Linked DNA regions of Stegostoma tigrinum. The main gene of each other region encodes a partner of the protein of the gene in region 3 in a complex. Links are inferred from orthologs where the notes say so. Each region holds a gene or a part of one and is shown on either strand. Other genes may lie near its edges. The genes, in order: pierce1, cfap276 and tubulin alpha-1A chain.

Region 1 (7,305 bases), on a different chromosome or scaffold from region 3:
AGGAAGGTATAAATGATCACTGGTACCTGTAACGCTCCAGCAGTGAGGCCCCAGAAACACCAGCAACAGGTAAATAGACATTCACAATGAGGGAACCAGTGGGAACAGAACACCAGTAGAAAGGCACGAGGGAAACCAGTCTTTGCATTAATGTTTCCTGTAAAATACATAGTGTCTTCAACAGAGAAATACTCCTGCAGCACTGCCACCCTCCTTTAAAAAGAAAAGCACTGACCCTCCAGTTGTGTCTGAATTAGGAATTGGATCTCAGTGAATCTCTATCTTTCGCACCAACTGGAACGGTTGAAGCAATGTGAATTGTCATTTTTTTAAAGAAAAGACAAATAGTTTTGAGTTTGTATTAAAAAGATGTATTTAAATACAATGAATGAAAAGTTTTACACAGAGGGTTGACAGCGTTTGAGAAGCTGCAACAACATATTTGTATTTGGAGTTTGTGCAGTAACAGGGCCTTGCCTAATCTGTGAAGGAAGGACCAGCAGAGAAGTAGGACCGATGAAAGTTCAGCCGGTCCTGGAATGTGATCAGGTTTTCCGGTCCAGTGACCAGCGATTTTTCCATGCCAACGTTAAATCCATGGTCCTTGTACATCCCACATTTGCTTAAATGTTCTGAAAGTTTCTGAGGCACCGTGTAATAGCTGGTCTGGAAAGTCAAGCGGTCAGCAACGATGAGAATGGGGTAAGTTACACCCACTTTGATCTGCTACAGATCTACAACCCAGTCTCTCCACGGGGGTACGGCTCCCACACACTGACTGTCACTGCAGTACAGCTTCCATGCACACCAACCCTCACCAGGGTACGGCTCCTACACACACTGACTCTCACTGGGGTACAGTCCCACACACACTGACTCTCACTGGGGTACAGTCCCACACACACTGACTCTCACTGGGGTACAGTCCCACACACACTGAAACTCACTGGGGTACAGTCCCACACACACTGACTCTCAGTGAGGTATGGATCCCAATTATGTTGAATTTGTCAAACTGGACAGCGACTATAAATTGGCCATTCAACCCCACATGGCTGTTAGATTTCTGTGAAATTCCCATGAAACCCGATGACTTCAGCGAGTGACGTTACTTACCGGCATTTCATGAACTGTTGGCTGCTGACTGCCATAGGTCTGGTTTGTCGTCCTGTACAGTGGGTTGGTTGGCCGAGATCTGTCAATTGTCATTCAATGAAATGCAAGTCTGGTGATAATCAGATATCAAACATGTGCATTTATATAAATACTGTCTCTTGGGCTACTCCTGAGAAAGGCCATTCAGCCAATCACCTTTCCCATTGTTTACCACTGGTTGCTGATCAAACTATGACCCGGACGAGGCTGTTCAGCCTCTCTTCCGGTTCTTTCATTCTTTTATTGGAGGTTGACAGGTCTTTTAATTTCCATTTACCTTGAAAAGTGTCATCAAACAACAATGAACGATTCGCTGTTTTGACTTTTTTTTTCTCCTGCAGCAAACACTCAGCACTCACCCTCCCTCAGATACAGTTCCACTGCTGCCGTTTTTTTTGAGTGAGGAGGAAAGTGTTTCAGATTTCTGCACCCCTTTGTGAGGAGTTACTACTTGATACCAACCACAACAGCCCCAGGCTCTGACGTTAAGGTTCTACACCAGGCCACCACCTCACACCCCTTTTTCTGGCCCTCAATCCTTTTGCCCTTTACTAAGAATCCAAGAGCAGACCCTTACGCTGATCCTTGATCTCAACTCCATTTTCCCATATCTGTTTCTTCCCTGAGGGACAAGGTATCACGGTGGCCCAGTGGTTAGCACTGCAGCCTCACAGGGCCAGGGACCTGGGTTTGATTCCACCCTCGGGTAGCTGTCCGTGTGGAGTTTGCACATTCTCCCCCTGTCTGCGTGGGTTTCTTCCGGGTGCTCCGGTTTCCCCTCTCAGTCCAAAGATGTGCAGGCTAGGTGGCTTGGCCGTGCTAAATTAGCCAGGGGTGTGTGGATTTAGATGGGTCATGGGGGATGGGTCTGGGTGGGATGCGGTGTGGGTCAGTGTGAACTTTTAGGCTGAAGGTCCTGTTTCCACACTGTAGGGATTCTATGATCTTTCTATCCCAACGTTAAATATACTCAGCAGTTAAACAGCCTGCACCCTCTGGAGAATTCCAAAGATTCACAATTCTCTGAGTGAAGAAATTTGTCCACATCCTGGGCCTCAATGATAATGCCCTTATCCTGAGATGGTGCCCCTTGTGCTAGGCTTTCCATCCAAGAGAAAACACACCTCAGTGTAACCCTGTCAAGCCCCTCATCTCTTTAATGTTTCCATGAGATCACCACATAGAATCATAGAATCCCTACATCCCCCCCACCCCAGGAGAAGCCCTGTAAATACTGACACACTTCCCTGCCCCAAGGGAGCCTGGGAAACTGACATACTCCCCCTGGGGACCCTCCTGTAAACACTGACACACTCCCCCTTGGGACCCTCCTGTAAACACTGACACACGCCCCCTGGGGACCCTCCTGTAAACACTGACACACTACCCCTGGGGACCCCCCCTGTAGATACTGATACACTCCCCCTGGGAACTCTCCTGTAAATACTGATACACTCCCCCTGGGCACCCCCTGTAAATACTGACACACTCCCCCTGGGAACTCTCCTGTAAACACTGACACGCTCCCCCTGGGCACCCCCTGTAAACACTGACACACTACCCCTGGGGAACCCCTATAAATACTGACACACTCCCCCTGGGCACCCCCTGTAAACACTGACACACTACCCCTGGGCACCCCCTGAAAACACTGACACACTACCCCACACCTCCTCTCCCTCGCCGGTGTGAAATCCCAAACCCGTACCCATATCCCTGGAAACAGCTCGGATGCTCGAATCTCTCGGGGAGGCCAGGTTTCACCCGGTAGTACTCGCTAGTCCGGGACGGGGCGGGGGGCTCTGGCTCTGGGCTGGTTTTCAGATATTTCACGGTCGGTTCCTTCACTCCGCACAGAGACATCTCGAGAAAATGCAGCAAGATCGTTACCAGGCAACGAACTGATACATTCCAGACCAGCAGTGTTTCAGCAGCCAATGGGAGACTCTTACTGGGGAACGTCTCCCACACCTTCGGGCAGTGCTCCCACACACACTGACTCTCACTGGGGTACAGTCCCACACACACTGACTCTCACTGGGGTACAGTCCCACACACACTGACTGTCACTGGGGTACGGTCCCAAACACACTGACTCTCACTGGGGTACAGTCCCACACACACTGACTCTCACTGGGGTACAGTCCCACACACACACTGACTCTCACTGGGGTACAGTCCCACACACACTGACTCTCACTGGGGTACAGTCCCACACACACTGACTCTCATTGGGGTACAGTCCCACACACACTGACTCTCACTGGGGTACAGCTCCCACACACACTGACTCTCACTGGGGTACAGTCCCACACACACTGACTCTCACTGGGGTACAGCTCCCACACACACTGACTCTCACTGGGGTACAGTCCCACACACATTGACTCTCACTGGGGTACAGTCCCACACACACTGACTCTCACTGGGGTACAGCTCCCACACACACTGACTCTCACTGGGGTACAGTCCTACGCACACTGATTCTCACTGGGGTACAGTCCCACACACACTGACTCTCACTGGGGTACAGACCCACACACACTGACTCTCACTGGGGTACAGTCCCACACACACTGACTCTCACTGGGGTACAGACCCACACACACTGACTCTCACTGGGGTACAGCTCCCACACACACTGACTCTCACTGGGGTACAGCTCCCACACACACTGACTCTCACTGGGGTACAGTCCTACGCACACTGATTCTCACTGGGGTACAGTCCCACACACACTGACTCTCACTGGGGTACGGCTCCCACACACACTGACTCTCACTGGGGTACAGTCCCACACACACTGACTCTCACTGGGGTACAGTCCCACACACACTGACTCTCACTGGGGTACAGACCCACACACACTGACTCTCACTGGGGTACAGCTCCCACACACACTGACTCTCACTGGGGTACAGTCCCACACACACTGACTCTCACTGGGGTACAGTCCCACACACACTGACTCTCACTGGGGTACAGTCCCACACACACTGACTCTCACTGGGGTACAGTCCCATACACACTGACTGTCACTGGGCATACGTCCAGGATTCAACCCCTTTGTCCCAGGAATCAGTTTTCTCAAGGTCCTTTGCTCCCTCCCTCCAGCAACGTGGACTTGTTTTGAGAAGGCAACCTAATGTTTCCTTTTGGAACTGTATCTGGACTTCTCTTCAGATTACTCAAATCCATTTTTTGTAAAATGGAGTTCTGCTTAACTGTGCCCACTGCCGCCTCTGATTAAGTATTATAATTGTGCACCTCCTGCAAGCCAGTCTTTCTGCCTACCAACCTTTCTGAACCTCCCACCAGTTTTAATAAATTTGAATTCTCTGTTTTCCTTAGCGGTAAGTTCCCATTTTGCCAATTCCTGCACCACTTTCTGCTTTCATACCATGTGCCTGAGCCTGTCTTGGCTGCTTTCCAGTCTCTTGCATGCCCTTACAGCTGAATATTTGAAACCTCAGCAAACAAGGACATCAGTTCCCTGCTTTGGTGGATCGAACTCGATAAGTAGCTGTGGTGAAATCACTGTGGTCACCCCTGCTGCCTTGCAGCACCAGGGGCCTGGTTTTGATTCCATTCCTGGGCAAATGTCTGAGTGGAGTTTGCACATTGCCTGCGTGGGTTTCCACCAGGTGATCCAGTTTCCTCTCACAGACCAAAGATGTGCAGGCTGGGTGGATTGATTAGATTAGATTCCCTACAGTGTGGAAACAGGCCCTTTGGCCCAACAAGTCCGCACCGCCCCTTGAAGCTTCCCACCCAGGCCCATCCCCCTATACCCACACACCCCTGAACACTACCAGCAATTTAGCATGGCCAATCGACCTAGCCTGTACATCTTTGGACAGTGGGAGGAAACCGGAGCACCCGGAGAAAACATTGGTCATGCTAAATTTTCCATATTGTTCAGGAATGTGTAGGTTAGGTGCATTAGCGATGGGAAATGCAGGGTTAAGGGTAAAGGGATGGGTGGGATTGTCTTCAGAGGGTTGGTGTTGGCCTGTTTCCACACTGTAGGGATTCTGAGACGAAGTGGGGACTCCCCTGTTAACTGAAGTTTGAAAATTCCCCCAACTACTCTCCTAATTATTTCTGAGCATCATGGAATCTCGAGCTTTTTCAGTTGAATTTGACATTCTTTTGCGCTGGCCATTAGCTAATTTCAAACTTTCTCAATCACATGAGAATTGCAAACTCAGCAGATCAGCCCTGAGCTTGCCAAGAAGTCATTTGCACAACTCGAAGTTACACAAATTCTTTAAATATCCCAACATTTCACAATATACCACTTTTCAGTTTTATGTCTTCTAAGCATTGTTCAAATTTTCATTCATTTTTGATGTACCGGGGCAAATGGGCAGGATAGCCATTGTGGGGTTCACAGGAATGACAATGTGGTGGATTTGATTCTCCCCATTGCTGAGCTGGGCTCGGGCCAGCCTTTGCCCATGCATTGGGCTGGAAGGAAATAGCAAGGTACCAGTCACTGAGTGAATGGCTCAGGAAAAATTACCAGCAGCAAACAACGAGCCAATAACGAGGCATTTTAAAATTCTTTTCCAGGATGTGGGAGTCCCTGGATCAGCCAACAATTATTATCCATCATGCTTGAGACGGCGGTGGTGAGCGGCTTCCTTGAACTGCTGCAGTCCCTGGTGCAGTAGGTGAATTGGCTGTACTGTCCGAGAGTTCCAGGAATTTGACCTAGCATGGGTAGTGTTTAGCTTGGTGCGCACTATTCTTATACACTCATACACTCTAAAACCTTTATAGCACAAAAGAAGGCCATTCAGCCCATAAGGTCTGCACAAAGATCTGACAACACAAATCCCATTTTCCAGCTCATGGCTCAGCGGCCTGGAGGCTATGGCAATGCAAATGAATCGAAATGCTGTCCAATGTTACCGAAGTTTCTGATTCAACAATCCATTCGACCACAGAGTTCCAGATTCCCAACATTCTCTAAAATCAAATCACTTCTTCGCCTTCGACCTCTGACCTTAAATCTATGCCCCTGCTTATTGATTTCTCCACAATTGGAAAAACGGCCCTTCCTATCCACTCTATCTATCTCCCTCATGTTCTTATACCCTCTGTCAGGTCCATCTCAATTTTCACTGTTCCCAGTCTACCCAATCTTTCCTCACAGCTCAGATCCTCCAGCCCAGGTAGTGTTCTGGTAAATGTCCTCTACAGCGTCATGTCCTCCCAGAACTGCAGAGACACCTTCCTTACATCCTGGCTGGTGTTTCGTACAGTTCCAATATAACCTCCCTGTTCTTGTATTCTTACATCTCAGCTAATATAGGCCCTTATGAATAAAAATAGATATTGCTGGTGAAACTGGGTAGGTGTGGCAGCATTTAAGGAGAGAAAGCAGAGGTAATGTTTCATGTCCAGGAGCACTTCTTCAGAACATGAAGAGTCACTGGATCTGAAACTTGAACTCTACTTTCTTCCCACAGATGCTGCCAGACCTGCTGAGTTCCACCAACAATTTCTGTTTTTGTTTCAGATCTTCAGCATCCACAGTTCTTTGTTTTATTTAAGTACCCTCGGTGTCTTTTTAACTTTGTTATCTAACTGCCCTGTATCGCCAGGGATACGTGCCGAGCTCCATCTGACCTTCAGTGCTTCCCAGAACGCTACCATTCACAGTGTATTCCCTCACCTTATCAACCCACCCAAGTGTATTGCCCCTAATGTGTCTGGGTTGAATTCCATCTGTCACTGCTCTGCCCAGTTCTTTACTGCCATCCTCCTCGCTATTTATCACCTACTGATTCCCATGTCATCTGCAAATTTCTTGCTCAAACTTCCTCCATTTAATTCCAAGTCGTTAACGTAGACCACAAACAGCATGAAATCAAGTCTGAACCCTGCAGAAACCCACTGCAAACAGACTTTCAGTCACAGCAACATGCATCATCCAGGCAAATGGGAAGCATTCCATTGCAGTGTTGACTTGTGCCTTGTACATGATGGACAGGATTTGGGCAGTCAGGAGGTGAGTTACTCGCTGCAGTATTCCCAGTCTCTGACCCAGTCTTGTAGCTGCTGTATTTATATGGTGAGTTCAGCTGAGTTTCTGGTCAATGGTAACCTCCAGGATGTTGATAGTGGGGGTTTCAGCAATGA
Region 2 (7,911 bases), on a different chromosome or scaffold from region 3:
GGGATGGGTAATAAATGCTGCCTGCCCAGCCAAGCCCTCATCCTGTGAATCAATAAAGAATAAAGAAAAATGAATAGGAAAGGTTTGGCGGATACAGGCCAAACGAAGGCAGGTGGGACTAGTTTAGTTTGGGAACATAGTTGGCATAGACTAGTTGGACTGAAGGGTCTGTTTATCATGCTGTATAACTTAACAACTTTATTATTAGGGAGTAAAGTTGTTGGCAAATACAAATAAGCAGCATTCTAAGGTTAATTTCCACTTTGTAGTACACAATAGTCTACAAACGTAACTGAAGGAATAGAAACAAATTCTCATTTATTTAGATAACAAGGTGTGGAGCTGGAGGAACACAGCAGGGCAGGCAGCATTGCAGGAGCAGGAGAGCTGACGTTTCAGGTGGAGATGACAAAAAATGATGAAATCATTACATCCACAGGAAAGGCAGATGAAGCTAATATAAAGTCAATTCAGTCGGAACACTGAAATTTAAAAAAAAACTTACTTCTCCTGTGTGTGACAGCTCAAGTGATTTCATATATATTACAAACATGAGACAGATCACTTCAACTATTGAGCTCATACTTCTATAGAAATTTCCTTCACTAACAATATTTAGCTGTTTTCTGTGTGTCTTCAGAGTCTTTGGTTCCATTGCCAGTCTGAAACAGGAGCAGAAGTAGACCATTCTTCCCCATGATCCTGCTGTGCCATTCAAAAAGATCATAGGTGATCTGTTTATACTCCTCCTGTCGCATCCCCATTCACACACCATACCTGCCGTGTTCATCCAGCTCTACACCTTGTATATCTGTGTGAAGGAGGATGGTAAATTTTCAGCAATCTCCACTCCAGAGGAATGGGGCTCTGTCACTGAGTATATTCAAGTAAGAGATCATAGAATCTCTACAGTGTGGAAACAGGCCCTTCGGCCCAACAAGTTCACACTGACCCCTAGAACATCCCACCCAGCCCCAGCCCCTGCAGCCTAAACATCCCTGAACACTATCAACGATTTAGCATGGCCGATCCACCTAGCCGGCACATCTTTGGACTGTGGGAGGAAACTGGAGCACTTGGAGGAAACCCACATAGACACGGGGAGAATGTGCAAACTCCACACACACACAATCGCCTGAGGTTGGACTTGAACCCATGTCCCTGGTGCTGTGAGGCATCAGTGCTAACCACTGAGCCAGCATGCCACCCTAAACTTTAGTTAGGCCACACTTAGAATATTGCATACAGTTCTGGTCCACACTACCAGAAGGATGTGGATGCATTGGAGTCAGAACAGAAAAGGTTTACCAGGATGTTGGCAGGTATAGGGGGATTTTAGCTATTAAGAAAGACCTGGGTTTGTTGTAACTGGAATGCAGGAGGCTGAGGGGCAACCTGACAGAGAGATGATTAGCTTTCTACTTAAACAACATGTTAAGGGGTTTGGGGATAGTTGAGGGAAATAGTGAGGCAGAAGGTCATTGTTCAGTTGAGTGATGAAGCAGGATAAAGATGTCAAATAGCCTACTCCCGCTCCAATGTCGATTATCCCTCTGAAAATGCCAATGATTTGAAGGAAGAATTATTACACCTAAATGGATTCAGCAAGGTAGCTGATGGACATGCTGCTAAAAATAACAAGACAAAATCCTGGCATACTATTGGCCACTGAATTCCACTGGTGATGTGTGTGTTCATCTTAAAGTGATCATTTTTGAACAATGAGGGCATGTATTTTAGGGGCAGTTTAAATCTAACCAGACGAGAGACCATTCTGTTCTTTCGTTCTATAAGTTGTTTAGTTTTTACGTTCTGCTTGTTTGGAATCGAAATAGAATTTCGAAGATGACCCGTTTAGATTCAGTGCTCAGAATGTGAATTATTTAAAGGACAGAATGTCGAATTCCTATTTTAAAGATTCAGAGCTTTCACTTGTCATGTCCCTCTTGTCCGCTCCTATTGCGCAAGATTGGAATGATGTAGTGCAACAATGTTTTACGCCGGTATCAGACGCTGCATGATTATTTCGAAGATAAGACAGAACTTTGCTGCATTTGTTGTCTGGTGTAGACAGCCCATGGGAAAGACGCACCGCCTCAACTGTTTTTTTCCGTCCGTCTTGAGAAGGCAGCGCAGCTGCCACTTGCGCTGTTTGTCTGTGTGACTCGGCAATTTCCGCGAATTTCCGCGAATTGACGAACGGTCGTGACCCGGCGACACCAGTTCAGTTCCACAGTGCCCGCAATTTGACAAGTCCGAGGCACGGCGTGGCAGCCAAGGAGAAAGAGAGAGAGAGTCTGCTATTCCCCCAGACCCTCTTGCAATTTTATTGTCCGCAACATTTATCTCTCAAGCTGACGAGTCATGAGTGGGAATACCTCGTTTCCTCGTCTGTTCCTTTGTGTTTTGTTTTTCTCAACAGGTTTTCTATTATTACCTCAGCAAATATTAAGCCTGCAGGACCAGTCTGGAGAAAACCTTCCAATTTGCAAAGAGGTACGGTGCATTCATTACTGTATTCTAGCTATTCTGTATTTGTAATAATGCAGTTATGATTGAAAATAAATTGTAGAATTTCTTAGCTTTGTTTACTATTTGAACCGAAACGTAGACAAGCATGCATAATTATCAAGTTGCAAAGTTTGTTGTGCACAAGATATTTCAACGAGGCATTTTACTTGTTTAGTACCGTGTCCATATGGAATACTTAATTTTGATTTGGCAGCTGTCGCACGGCACATTAAGGATGTTTAATAATTAGAGTTGTTGCTGTAAACTGCGAATCAATTGTATTCTACACAAATCCTGAAATTGACAAGTGTTTGTTTAATGAAGGTGTGAAGTGTTTGTTGTTATTACCTCTTAATCGAAAGCCACAAAATGTTACTCACACAAAAATTCTTTCGACTCCTTTGAGTTATATCTCATTGTATCAACGTGACCTGAAAATATTGCCGGTAAAACCACCGTTTGGTGATCAATCTGTTGGCGTGCAGGTCGATGTCAGCTTCTGAAGAGTTCAGTGAAGGTTCCTGTTGGCACCTATTGAAGTCCGTGTCTGTGTCGAAGCGCGGGCGCAGGACAGTGTGTACCGCTAGGTGGTGTGTGAAATGCTGTGATAACCTGACAGTCAACCTGCAGGTTTTACACCAAGACATCACGATCAACCTGCGTAAAACGTATTTTCGATTTTCTTTCAAAATAAAAAAAATTACCATATATATATTACAAGGGAGAGAGCAGCAAAGGTGAAAAATGTGAGATCGCGAACTAACCCATTCCAATGGTGAAACAATAATAGCGTTTTCTTCAGGGTGGTCGCTAATAATATTTGTTGATAACTTCATTTGATGCAAACTATTCAGGACATTGTTTTTCGATCAAATATTTAATCTATATTTTTAACCTTGAATATGAAAATAACTGCAATAGAAACACGTTTCCTTATCTGTTCTATGAATTAAGAAAGTATGCCTTTAATTAAAATGAAGTAAAACCTCTGAAACAAGATCACAAACTTCCTAATCGCCCTACCAGACCGTAGCACTGCTGTCTCTATTGAAAGAGACAGATGATACTGATGGTTTACCTGTGGGTCACCGCGCCTCAAACAAAGGGGGAGGTTGAGAAGGAAAGCCATTTATGGTAATTTCAGCCTGTGGGTGAATTGAACACACAGCCGTGCAGCCACCTGACCCAACTGAGCCCCAATGATGAGCTTCGCAATAATTCTACAAACAACAGCAAAGCACATAATATGTAAAATTCTTGGAAGTGTTTGACTATCTTTCAGCCTTTTCTACATGACAGATGCATCAGCCTGTTTCATTGCCCAGGCAGTGATGTAGGAGACTTGAATTGTTAAATATTTAATATAATTTTTAAACTTGAACTTAGCTGATGCGAACTTAGACGCATGTTAAAATGGTAACAGGGGAGTAAGATATTTGAATGTTTGACAAGAGCTGTGAATCAGCAACAAAAACAGGAGTTGCTGGAAAAGCTCAGCGGATCTGGCAGCATCGGTGAGGAAAATAAATCAGAGGTAAGGTTTGGGGTCCAGTGACCCTTCCTGAGAACGAACCATTAACTTTGATTTTTCCTCACAGATGCAGCCAAACCTGCTGCGTTTTTCTATTTGGATGTTTGCCTCGAGATTGCAGTGACATTTATTTGACTGGGCTGAGAGGTGGCAAATGGAGTTTAATGCAGACAAGTGTGAAGTGTGATGCACTTTGGTAGGAGTAACCAGAAGGCAAAGTACTGGGCTAATGGTAAGATTCTTAGCAGTGTAGATGAGCAGAGAGATCTCGGTGACCACGTACACAGATCCTTGAAAGTTGCCACCCAGGTTGACAGGGCTGTTAAAAAGGCATACAGTGTTTTAGCTTTTATTAATAGAGGGATCGAGTTCCGGAACCAAGAGGTTATGGTGAAGCTGTACAAAACTCTGGTGCAGCCGCACTTGGAGTATTGTGTACAGTTCTGGTCACCGCATTATAAGAAGGATGTGGAAGCTTTGGAAAGGGTGCAGAGGAGATTTACTAGGATGTTGCCTGGTATGGAGGGAAGGTCTTACGAGGAAAGGCTGAGGGACTTGAGGCTGTTTTCATTAGAGAGAAGAAGCTTGAGAGGTGACTTAATTGAAACATATAAAATAATCAGAGGGTTAGCTAGGGTGGATAGGGAGAGCCTTTTTCCTAGGATGGTGATGGTGAGCACAAGGGGGCATTGCTTTAAATTGAAGGGTGAAAGATATAGGACACATGTCAGAGGTAGTTTCTTTACTCAGAGAGTAGTAAGGGAATGGAACGCTTTGCCTGCAATGGTAGTAGGTTCGCCAACTTTAGGTACAATTAAGTCGTCATTGGACAAGCATATGGACGTACACGGAATAGCGTAGGTTAGATGGGCTTGAGATCGGTATGACAGGTCGGCACAACATCGAGGGCTGAAGGGCCTGTACTGTGCTGTAATGTTCTATGTTCTATGACTGCCTATGTCATTGGAGTAACAATTTTTGGCAAATTCACCCCATGTACCTCCTTTCATATCATGGGGGAGAGAGGAAAACATTGATGTGAAATGATTTAAACAATGGTGAGAATCTGTCCAGTTCGCATTCTGCAGCCTATACTCTCAAAGGAGATGTTTTGCACGAGGGCATAGCTTAGAGTCAGAGCTTAGACAATTAACTAAATGCACATCCATCAATGGTGGAACAAAGGAAGTCAGAGATGCACAATTGGCCAGGTTTGGCGGAGTGCAGAGACCTTGGGAAGTTGTAGTGGATGATAACGTGATAGAAATAGGGAAGTACATGACCACTGAGAGATGAGAACACAAATATGAGAATTGTAAAACTGCCTTGAGACAATGGGGCAGGTCACACCAGGTAAAGAATTGGATCAGTTACGTCACCACTGTTTTGCTAGATAGTGGTTCTCAGGAGAATAACCATATCTGTGACAGTAAGGATACACTGATATCCTCCTCTTATTTTGAGCTGGAGTCCCACATAGCCCATTAACACCCTGTTGAATACATCCCTAAAAACTGAAGGGCGAATCAAGTGCAGGTTTTATTGCAGGTTAGGGTTTTCCTACAAACTGGAAGTGCAGTAGATTCTGAAAACTTTTCTACATTCCTATGAAGCTGTGACCAGTAGAAATGTTAGGGCTTGAGTTTTGCATACACTGACATGCCTCGCCATCAGAATTTCATGACTTGGCCATAGTATTGCCTACAGGATCTTGCTGGCTCTGCTGCCTGCTCCTCTTTTGCAGATCAGTGAAGAGGTCTACGTTTTCTCACCAGCACTTCATTTTTAATGTTGGAGCACCGAAGTACTGCTTCTACCTTAGCTCCAGTATAAGCAGCCTGAGCTAATGATTTTAACAATGGGTCAACTTGTTGGGTTGCTATCAAGAAAGCTCTATTTACGACCTGCTTGGAGTCTTTTAAACTCCCAAAAAATAATCTGATAATCTGACAGACCACACAGTCAGGGAAAATGACAGGCATTTTTTCCTGCAGCTGGTTGGTCTCCCTCCTCAGTAGTTTTCTTGGAAGCTATTGGGAATGCTATTATGCTAGTCATTGATTTTAGCCATGGAAAATGCAGGGTTACAGGGGTGGGGTGAGAAGGTGGGTCTTGGTGGGATGCAGTTCGGAAGGGTGGTGTGAACTCAATAGGCTGAACGGCCTACTTCCACACTGGAGAGATTCTATGATTTTATCACAGGCAGAGTACAACAACTTTCATGATCACTAGTCCCAACACAAGGTCACGCTCCAGCAGGACCTGGTAATGGGGAATAGTCATATACTCTCTTTTAATCCTTTCTACTGGCACCTTGCCACTTGCTGCACTCTCAGGTAGGAGGGCCATGCCTTTTCATAACAATAGAGTCTGACTGGCCCTGGTATCCCTCAGTATTGCTAGAGGCTTGCTTACCTCACACTAGGGAAATGTGGCCACATTTCATTTGCTCATAAAATTCCAGTAACTCTCCGGGATTTGTTTAACCTCATCTGTACTCTCAGGAGCGCCTTTACATGGATTCACAGCTGCAGTCGGAGTCATAGCTTGGTTTGCTATACTTTCTGACTGACTCTCATTGTCTGAATGGGTGATTGTGCTCCAATAAATCCCCTTTCATTTCTCTGGTAATACCAAAGGTTGGCCCAGACATGCCCCATCTCTCAGTAGTTAAAATACACAAGTTTTGTGGCCTCCCCATTCATCTCAACATCATTCTTGCAGTCCTGAGGAAGGCTTCCAACATTTCCTTCTCTCCCAGGAATGCCTAACTTACCCATTGCTCTTCCCATCCTTTCCAATTGGTTGAGGTGACTAGGAAACAGGAGTTTGTGGATCAGCTCATAATCATTAGCGAATGTAGTTGTCTCCCTGGACCCATTCACTCTCTGGTCCTCATGGTGCATTCTTATTGGGAGGGAATTGAAGTTTATAAATTCTTCAATGAGAATATCTCATTGAGCCTCCTGTTTAAGTGTCCACATCCACTTTTCAAAATCAAGCCACCAAACGTAAAATGGAGATAGCAAGAACTACAGATGCTGGAGTCAGAGTGTGGAGCTAGAGGAACACAGCAGATCAGTCCTAATGAAGGATCTTGGCCTGAAATGGCGATTCTCCTACTCCTGTGGTGCTGCCCCACCTGCTGTATTCCTCCAGCTGCATGCTGTGTTAACGATGCCTGGTCACGTGGTTTCCTGAGGGCACAGAATTTTTTATTCATTCATGGGATGAGGGCATCGCTGGCTAGGCAGTATTTATTGTCCATCTCTAGGTGGTTAAGGACCAACCACATTGCCATTGGTCTGGAGTCACATGTTGGCCAGACCAAGTAACAACAGCAGATTTTCCTTCTGTAAATGACATTAGTGAACCACATGGGTTTTCACAACAATCAATATGGTTGCCATTAGACCAGCTTGTCATTAAATTCAAAGTGCACCATCTGCGATGGTGGCATTCAAATCTATATCCCTGGAAAATTAGCCTCAGGTTCTGGATTACAGATCCAGTAACATCACAACTACACCACTGTCTAGGCTCTCAGGTGAGGAAGCATGAACTGGCTACCCTTTTTACTTTGTCCATCCCTCAGTTCATTGCAGCAGTACAATTTAAAAGGGTCCCTTCCCTCTGGATACGTATCTACCACAGCCAAATAAACTTATGTTATAAAATTAGCCAATTCAACCAGGCTTCTTTAGTGAACAAAATGTGTGGGTTTATTGTTTACTGCACAGAAGAAATTGTAACACAACACACATACGCACAGTTTGTAAATAACTGGTGAGTCTAAAAAGATAGTAGTTTTAAAAAATACAGATCAGTTTCTGAATTGTTCACAAAAAGCAGATAGTTGTACTTTGCAG
Region 3 (7,811 bases):
GGTATTTAAATACAGCCAGTTGTAACATCCGCCTTCCAAGGCAGGACTAAACTCACCAGTTTACGAACTCTGTCCAGAACCAAGTCAATGATCTCCTTGCCAATTGTGTAGTGACCACGGGCATAGTTATTAGCTGCATCTTCCTTCCCAGTGATCAGCTGCTCAGGGTGGAACAGCTGGCGGTAAGTACCAGTACGTACCTCATCTAGGATCGAGAGACAGTGCAATTTCAGTGTTACAATCAACACATGTAACCACAAGATGAAATCAGGCTCATGTGGCATAACCAGAGAAGAGGTCTGCACGGTTAGTGTTACACATGCCCCTCACCTACCTATTACAGTTGGCTCCAAGTCCACAAACACAGCTCGTGGAACATGTTTGCCTGCTCCTGTTTCACTGAAGAAGGTGTTGAAGGAATCATCTCCACCTCCGATGGTCTTGTCACTGGGCATCTGCCCATCAGGCTGGATGCCATGTTCCAAGCAGTAGAGCTCCCAGCAGGCATTTCCGATCTGGACTCCAGCCTGGCCAACATGGATACTGATGCACTCACGCTGTAAGAGAAACAAACAAAGTGGTGATCAACTAGTTTGACATCTGATCTAAAAACATTCCATACAAACTTTTACTGCATTCATGCTCTGGTAAGCATTACCTTTAGGAGAAAGTCTACTACTCCCTTGATGGGTAGGCAGGCAGATGCTACCTCCATCAGCAAAATACATCTGATTGTTGCCACAGATGTCTTACTAATCAGTTGTTAGGACAGTCATGAATGATGTAAAGGCTGGATAGGTAACCACATAGCAATTTGAGGCAGCTGAAGACATGTAGTTTATGAGAAGCATCTGTACTTGATTGGATTCCTTGTATGACACTGTATTGGAAAGCATTTGAGGGGGTGGTATTACTCCCATTGTGGTCACATGCATCAGGTCTATGCTTGACCTATACAGATGTGGTTCAACTGCATCAGGTCAACTTCTATTTAAGTATCATATACTTGACAGGAGTGCAACTCATGCTGGAGAGACATATGAAAGGGGCAGGCACGCAACTCAAGTTGGGACTGAAACAGAACTGAAATTTAGTATTTCAGATTTGCAGGTAATATGGAAATCAAGCACATCACCCAGCCATTTAGCAATCGGCATATGCCATCTTCAATATTGCATCAGTGTCAATTATGATAAAACAATTACTTCATAAAGTGTACTCCACCATCCCAACATACATTTAATGCTTTTAGCAATTGTTGACATTTCTCAAAGAAATTAAATCTTATTTTGAAATCAATGATTGTTCTTGGGTATACATTTAAGAGGATACTTGATTTAGACGTTTCCTGAAAAAAAATTGAAGCACAAGTAACGATTTTACAACCCACTAGACCCATCTGTAAAAACAGTTATAACCTAGAATGGGATTGCTGTATAAATCCAAAGTTTTTTTTAAAATGAAAAAAAATCGTGTATCATGGAGAATCTCAGAATCCCTACATGCAGAAGGGGGCTATTTGGCCCCTCGATCTGCACCGACCCCACCCCAAAGAGCATACGACCTAAAACCCTCCGCATCCCTGCATTTCCCGTGGCTAATCCGTTTAGCCTACATCTGTGAACACCATAGATAATTTAACACGGTCAATCCAACTAACCTGCACATTTTTGGATTGTTAGGGGAAAACCAGCAGAAACCCATACAGAAGCGGGGAAAACATACAAATTCCATAGTCACCCGAAGCTGGAATCGATCTTGTATCCCTGATACTGGCCAGAAAAAGGGCACATCCGTGCAATTCTTGCGTTTAGCATTGCAATACGCAAACTAGCTAGAATTTCTGGTTCGGATGCTGAATTTGGGTGGGGTCATACTGCAGTGCAGATTGTCTCCAACTGCCGCCATGTCTCCCCTCCCCCCGACCCCTCCCAGAAGGGAAGCAGACGGATTACAACCACTCTCCCCTACACCGCCATCTTTTTTATCTTTAAGCCCAGTAATTTAGACAGGCTCCATTATCCGTAGTTTGATTCTTAGCACAGCTTTACGATGTACAAAAGCTGCCTATTTCACGGTGACCTCGTGTTGACGTTGGCTTTGTGTCCACGTATGACCGTCACTGACGTGTACTGTTACTAAGCAGCCCTACAGTGATTTCACTAGGGAATGGGGACGAAAGCTTTCAGTTTGTAGCTATGGTTGACAAGCCATTGAGCAGTAAGTGTGGAAACGTCAGTAATCCCGACACAAAGCAATTTCGGGGGTCGGGGGGGGGGGGGGGGGGGAAGTATGCCAAATTCAGCTCACACCCTCTGCACGTTGAGAGTCACTGCCCATTGTGTTCCAACATCTCTTTCACATATCCTTGTAGACATATGCAGCGATTAGCTAGCGAAAAGCCTAGAAGTGATCTTAAATTCGCTGTTAAGTGTAACGGATTTTTTCCCTCCGGATAACATTACTTGCAGAAGTCCATTGAAATGGCTTTATTTCATCACCCTTAGCATTAAGTGTGAAATTGATTGTATTGACGGAAAATTGCATGCGAATAGCGTACGTGTACACTATCTTTGATAGCAAGTTATTCCCGTTGTAATTAAATCATTCACAGGCAACGTAGTTTGTTGCATTGTATTTGCAACACGAACAGATCATTTGGTCGGTTTATGCTCACATGAGCCACCTCCCACGCTATCAGCCTTTCTTCCGTTCCTTTCACTTCGGACCGCATTTAGCTATCCCGTGATGTTTATGTTCACGAGATTTGCGTAGTGGAATTTAGAAATTAAGTCAGACAAGTGTACTTAAAAACAACAATTAAGATGCTTAAAAACGAGAACAAGTCTTACAACACGAAATTCCAACGTGTAGCTTGCTGGGGAGAAAGAAAACTCTTTTTGTATTAAACAGCATCTTACCATGATGCCTGGTCCTTGATAGTAGACAAAACAAATGGAATAAAGAGAGGACTTCAGCGACTTCTTCCTACAGCGCGACTTTTACGGGTCGTCGTAAGAAAAAACCTACCCTCAGCTGGGAGAGACATGTTCTTATAGTGGGGCCAGACACCGGGTCCTGGTCAGTGGAGCCATTCCCATTGGAGGAGGTCTGTTTGAGTGACGAGGAACTATCACAATGCTGACTCTCTGATTGGAGGAAACATGCTCCGTTAACCGCTTCGCGGGTTCTGATTGGGTAGACGCTCCTGAATAAACTAATCGCCTTGACCACGAGTGATTTGGAACAAAGGCTGACATTTGAGAAAACAGCATTTGAACTGGCGACGAAATAGTAAGATTCCGGTTTTCAGAGGATAAAATACCTCAGCAATTAATCAAACCACTGTTCTTCTGAAGTAATAAGATGGCCTTGCCTTATAAAGAGAAATTCAAAGGAAATATTTTTTCACTGATAACATCATGGACTACGTTGAACTGCTTATTTGATGAAGGAAATTATTAAATATCTTATAAATACCAATTTACAGATTAACAATTTTCTGACTATTCTCTTCGTTAAAAAGTTTTTCATAATTAACGAAGCCACGTTTCCATCTATTTTACACAAGGAATTTCCCGCCCCCAACGAATAATGCATTCTTTTACAAACCACGTTCAATCTTTTAGCAGAATTACACGACTAGAACCTGCATGTAAAAAGGTGGTATTTTATTTACTGGCCACTGTAAAATTAATACAATAATTCGTGAAGTTTGTTACATTCGTGAAGTTTGTTACATTAGCTCTTTGTAACGATATAAGACGGAATTGCTGTTTCTCTCACTGTATCAGAAAATGTTCTACACGTTGCAATTCGGCCAGCGCGTTCTGTTAACGGCGCCTTCTCAGTTCTAAACTGTCACATCCCGACAAACTTCGCCGCAAATATTGCCCTCCATTGGGGCAGGATCGGGAGACAAAATAAAACGGATTCCTTGGTAATAGCAACTTTGTCTCTTGTTGCTATTGTTTCATGTTACGAAACTGGCTGTGGAATGGGACAGGGTGGGGCGGGGATTTTTCAGTCTTTTGTGCTGGACACGCGTCAATACAGTGTAACTATTTTAAATTGAAGCGGTTTCAGAGAAACAGTCTATTCCTGATTTTGTCGAATTATTAAAAAAAACGAATTTTAAAACATTTCCCACGAGCATTATTATTTTTATTCTATTGTATTTTAGGTGATTTTGACTGTCCGGAGTAGCATATTTCAGCAAACAGACAAAGGCAGTCCTACACACTGGATATAGGGACGTAGTTTTCTTTGCTGGTAGAGAAGGCATAAAGCTGATTATTACACCAGACATTAGCCCGGTGTAAGCTTCAATCACACCTATCAGCTGATGGAGGGAGTTTGTGTCTCGAAATGGAGGGGTCCAGATTCGATTGTATTGTAAGCGTCTCCAATAGATTTGTTGATGTTATCTGAACATATAAATGTGCCTGTTATATGTGGAAGTCAAATTTCGCTGTCTTATTTGTACGGGCAGAAAACCATATCTGGATATTTTCTAAAGTGGGAAAAATTATTATTCGCCCCCAGTAACAATTATGCATTTCAAAAGAATGGTCGCTCGTGTAACATGTGACTCACACTGCAGCTACAGCGTTCTACGTGATTCATTCTGCAGTGACTGCTTTCTCCCCTTTTCCTCAGGATGAGAGCACTAGGTAGTCACAATGAGCCATTTGCTACATCACCCAAGTAACCATTTTTTCACATGGTTGATCCTAAACAGCCATTCATCGCTTGTCATTGTCAGGAGAGTGAGGGCACAACCGTGCTGCTACATGGCGTGATATGGAGCCACGCAGAATAAGAGGGCACGGAAACAATCCAATCTCCCCATCCACATACGATCCTTTTCCCATCCTTCCCAAATCAATTCCATTAGAAAACCCTCCAATCCCTTTGTCTCAGATTCCCATCTAGGTTCTACTTGAATTAATCTATGCTATTTCCCTGCAGCCACTCCCTGGTAATGAATTCCACATTCTCACCATTCTTTTGGGTGAAGAAATTTCTTGGGAATTCCCTACTGGATTTCCTGGGGACTTTCATGTTGCTAACCTCTGGCTATACTCTTCCATACAAGAGGAAACATTCCTTCAGTATCCATAAAAAAAATTCATCCTTTCAAAGATCGCTATTTGCTCACCCCTTAATCTTTTTCAAGGGAAAACAGACAGCCTATTCACCCTTTCCTGATGGGTATAGCCTCACAGTTCTGGTATCATGATTTTCACAATCGGAGTAGGAATCATAGTTGATTTCACCCTGCCTGGCTCTTGGTCCTGAAGTTAGTTTTAGCAGTTACAGTCCCCAAGATCAACTAATTCATGACAAATAACTCCATTTCAACAAATGTCAGGCAGCTGAAATTCAATCCATAACTTTGTTCAACAGAATCTTCTAGATAAATAACACACTTCAGAAATGTTGCACTGCAATAATGATCTAATGAAGGAGAAACATTTGGTGTACAATAATAATTTTAAATGAATATAGAGAACAATAGTTATTTGGGAGAATTATGAGACTATAGTAAGTTGCTAGCAAATACTGAGGAACAAAGAGACCTTGGTGCACAAGTCCATAGATCCCTGAAGGTGTCAGCACAGGCAGACGGGGCGGTGAAGGTGGTGTACGGGAAGCTTGCCTTCATGAGCTAGGGTATAGAATTTGGAACAAGGAAGTCTTGTTACAATTTTATAAAGAACTGGTTAATCCACAGACGGAGAACTGTGTGCAGTTCTAATCACCAAATCCAAAGGATGTGACTGCACTGGAGAGGATACAGAGGAGATTCATCGGGATGTTGCCTGGGATGGAAAGTCTTAGTTATCAGGAGAGACTGAATAGCCTGGACTTGTTTTCCCTGGAGCAGAGGAGGCTGACGGGGGGATCTGATTGAAGCGTACAAAATCATGCAAGACATAGGTAGGGTCAATGCAAGAATCTTTTCCCCATGCAGATATGTCTAAGACCAGAGCAAATACGTTTATAGTGAGGAGTAGGTGGTTTTCAGGGAATCTGGGGAAAACGTTTTCCCCCAGAGTGTGGTAGAAATATGGAACATGCTGCCTGAGGGGGTGCTGGAGGCAGTTACTCTCACAACATATGAGCAGCAGCTGGATGAGTACTTAAAATACCACGGCATAGTAAGCTACAGACCAAGCACAGGTAAATGGGATTAGTTTGGTATTTGTTGTTCAGCATAGACATGGTGGGCTGAAGGGCCTGTTTCTATGCTGCATGTCTATGATGGCTGAAGACATGGTTGATAGTGATGGTGTTAAAAGAGGTGGAGATTTGAAAGAACATGGAGTTCTTGGAGAGTTGGAGTAGAACACAGTGATATGTTGGAGTGAGGCAATGATAATGAATAATACAAGAATGACCATTTTAAAAAGTTAGATTTAAGTGGACCAGGAACCAATATAGAATGATATACAGCCTGTTTTCTGATCCCTGAAATCAGATTACAAGCTGTTCACTTCACCTGTAGGCATCCAAACTCTGCTGCCCATTTCCAAATGCGGATCAAGTTCCATTCACTTGTCACCCCTGTGCTTGCTGTCCCTTGTGTCATTCTAGATGGTGACTGTTGATATGTAGTTCAATGATAGGTTAAATCTCAGCCAGGGCTGATGATAATGCTCATCTGCTATCTATGTGTCCTTCTCAGCAAGAGTCACTGAGGAAAGCTGAAAGTATAACTGATATTCTTTAGTTTGGAGACGTTGAAGTATCCCTCTTACTCCCCAGGCAATTCAGAAGGACCTTTCTGGTTTAATTTTCTGGCTGCATTATCCACTTGCCTACTGGCAGAACCACAGCCATCTTCAAATGTACACATGTTAATCCAGAAATCTGTCTACCAATGCCATTGATTCTGCCCAAGATACCGATCAATCAATCGCTGACCCTGGGTTTATTAAATCGACAGATAGATAATTAGAAATGTGAATCCTGTTGGGCCACTTTTGGCTTGCTGATTGTTTTTTATGAATAGTAAGAAGAACATTTTTCCTTTATAATAACGCATTTCTGCTACAATGAAACTTAAGGACAAATAATTAAATTATTTCCACAATTCTTTTGTTTACTGGTTCAAGAGCATGTCAGATTTGCCACTGTCAGTAATCTCAACACAGCTTGCCTCTCCTAGATTGCATGTTGGAAAGCTAATTAGAATGGACAGTCAATTTTTCAATCCTGTCGCTAGGAGATGAATAGCTCTGTTACCATGGAGACTGCCTTGGCACCCTGGTGGGTTGTAAGCCTCTTTTATCACATCAGAGCATACGACTGCTGTCACATCCATAAAACAGTATTTGCAATTCACTTTTTAGGATATTGTAGGCACTTCCACAATCCAATTTCCCTATATAATTGTGCAATATCTTTCAGAGAGAGTTGAAAGAAAAGAATCAGTATCTAATTGAATCAGAGATAATGGGAACTGCAGATGCTGGAGAATCTGAGATAACAAAGTGTGGAGCTGGATGAACACAGCAGGCCGAGCAGCATCTTAGGACAAAAGCTGACGTTTCGGGCCTAGAACCTTCATCAGAAAAGAAGATGCTGCTTGGTCTGCTGTGTTCATCCAGCTTCACACTTTGTTATCACGGCATCTAATTGAGTCAGTTTAGTTTGTAAGAACAGAAAGAAACTTGCATTTCATAATCTCAGGGTCTTCCAAACACTTTACAGCCAATGAAGCACTCCAGTTGTCTTCATTGTACTGTAGAAGACGTAGTCAGCAATTTGCATACACCACTCAATGTGATGATGACCAGATAACA

Evidence for each region.
Region 1: the proteins of tubulin alpha-1A chain (region 3) and pierce1 are in contact, whole or in part, in a cryo-EM structure (PDB 7UNG), measured with the Homo sapiens proteins. The link is inferred for Stegostoma tigrinum from reciprocal best matches to the Homo sapiens genes TUBA1A and PIERCE1. Residues at the interface, in NP_001257328.1 of Homo sapiens: Met1, Arg2, Gln15, Asn18, Ala19, Glu22, Cys25, Leu26, Glu27, His28, Gly29, Ile30, Gln31, Pro32, Asp33, Met36, Pro37, Asp39, Lys40, Asp46, Asp47, Ser48, Asn50, Glu77, Gly81, Thr82, Tyr83, Tyr224, Thr225, Asn228; in NP_001041730.1 of Homo sapiens: Tyr28, Pro35, Gly36, Arg37, Phe38, Trp43, Phe44, Arg45, Gly46, Tyr47, Arg48, Thr58, Ser59, Asn60, Gln61, Ala62, Tyr63, Gly64, Arg66, His71, Glu72, Pro74, Phe77, Tyr78, Pro79, Asn80, Ser81, Asn82, Lys83.
Region 2: the proteins of tubulin alpha-1A chain (region 3) and cfap276 are in contact, whole or in part, in a cryo-EM structure (PDB 7UNG), measured with the Homo sapiens proteins. The link is inferred for Stegostoma tigrinum from reciprocal best matches to the Homo sapiens genes TUBA1A and CFAP276. Residues at the interface, in NP_001257328.1 of Homo sapiens: Lys112, Glu113, Ile115, Asp116, Leu117, Leu119, Asp120, Arg123, Lys124, Asp127, Arg156, Ser158, Val159, Asp160, Gly162, Lys163, Leu195, Glu196, His197, Ser198, Asp199, Tyr262, Pro263, Arg264, Trp346, Lys430, Asp431, Glu434, Val435, Val437; in NP_001231954.1 of Homo sapiens: Pro43, Trp44, Arg46, Leu47, Asn48, Thr50, Pro51, Thr52, Ile53, Thr54, Ser55, Arg57, Arg58, Ala60, Tyr62, Asp64, Ile67, Pro68, Lys69, Asp70, Asp71, Phe74, Arg75, Lys90, Ser91, Leu94, Leu95, Asn96, Lys98, Thr99.

The regions. Positions count from the first base shown.
Region 1 is NC_081382.1:43,955,865-43,963,169, reverse strand, and holds pierce1 (piercer of microtubule wall 1 protein), read right to left. Parts: upstream 3,042-7,305; 5' UTR 3,019-3,041; coding exon 2,864-3,018; intron 1,196-2,863; coding exon 1,117-1,195; intron 667-1,116; coding exon 478-666; 3' UTR 403-477; downstream 1-402. UniProt on the Homo sapiens protein: Microtubule inner protein involved in the attachment of outer dynein arms (ODAs) to dynein-decorated doublet microtubules (DMTs) in cilia axoneme, which is required for motile cilia beating.
Region 2 is NC_081374.1:21,710,406-21,718,316, forward strand, and holds the start of cfap276 (cilia- and flagella-associated protein 276), read right to left. Parts: upstream 3,029-7,911; 5' UTR 2,892-3,028; intron 2,497-2,891; coding exon of another isoform or gene 2,365-2,496; exon of another isoform or gene 1,960-2,364; intron 43-1,959; exon of another isoform or gene 1-42. Other genes in the region: elapor1 (endosome/lysosome-associated apoptosis and autophagy regulator 1), read left to right, coding at 2,365-2,496. UniProt on the Homo sapiens protein: Microtubule inner protein (MIP) part of the dynein-decorated doublet microtubules (DMTs) in cilia axoneme, which is required for motile cilia beating. May play an important role for the maintenance of myelin-axon integrity.
Region 3 is NC_081404.1:13,027,707-13,035,517, forward strand, and holds the start of tubulin alpha-1A chain, read right to left. Parts: upstream 3,059-7,811; 5' UTR 2,925-3,058; coding exon 2,922-2,924; intron 558-2,921; coding exon 335-557; intron 206-334; coding exon 57-205; intron 1-56. UniProt on the Homo sapiens protein: Tubulin is the major constituent of microtubules, a cylinder consisting of laterally associated linear protofilaments composed of alpha- and beta-tubulin heterodimers.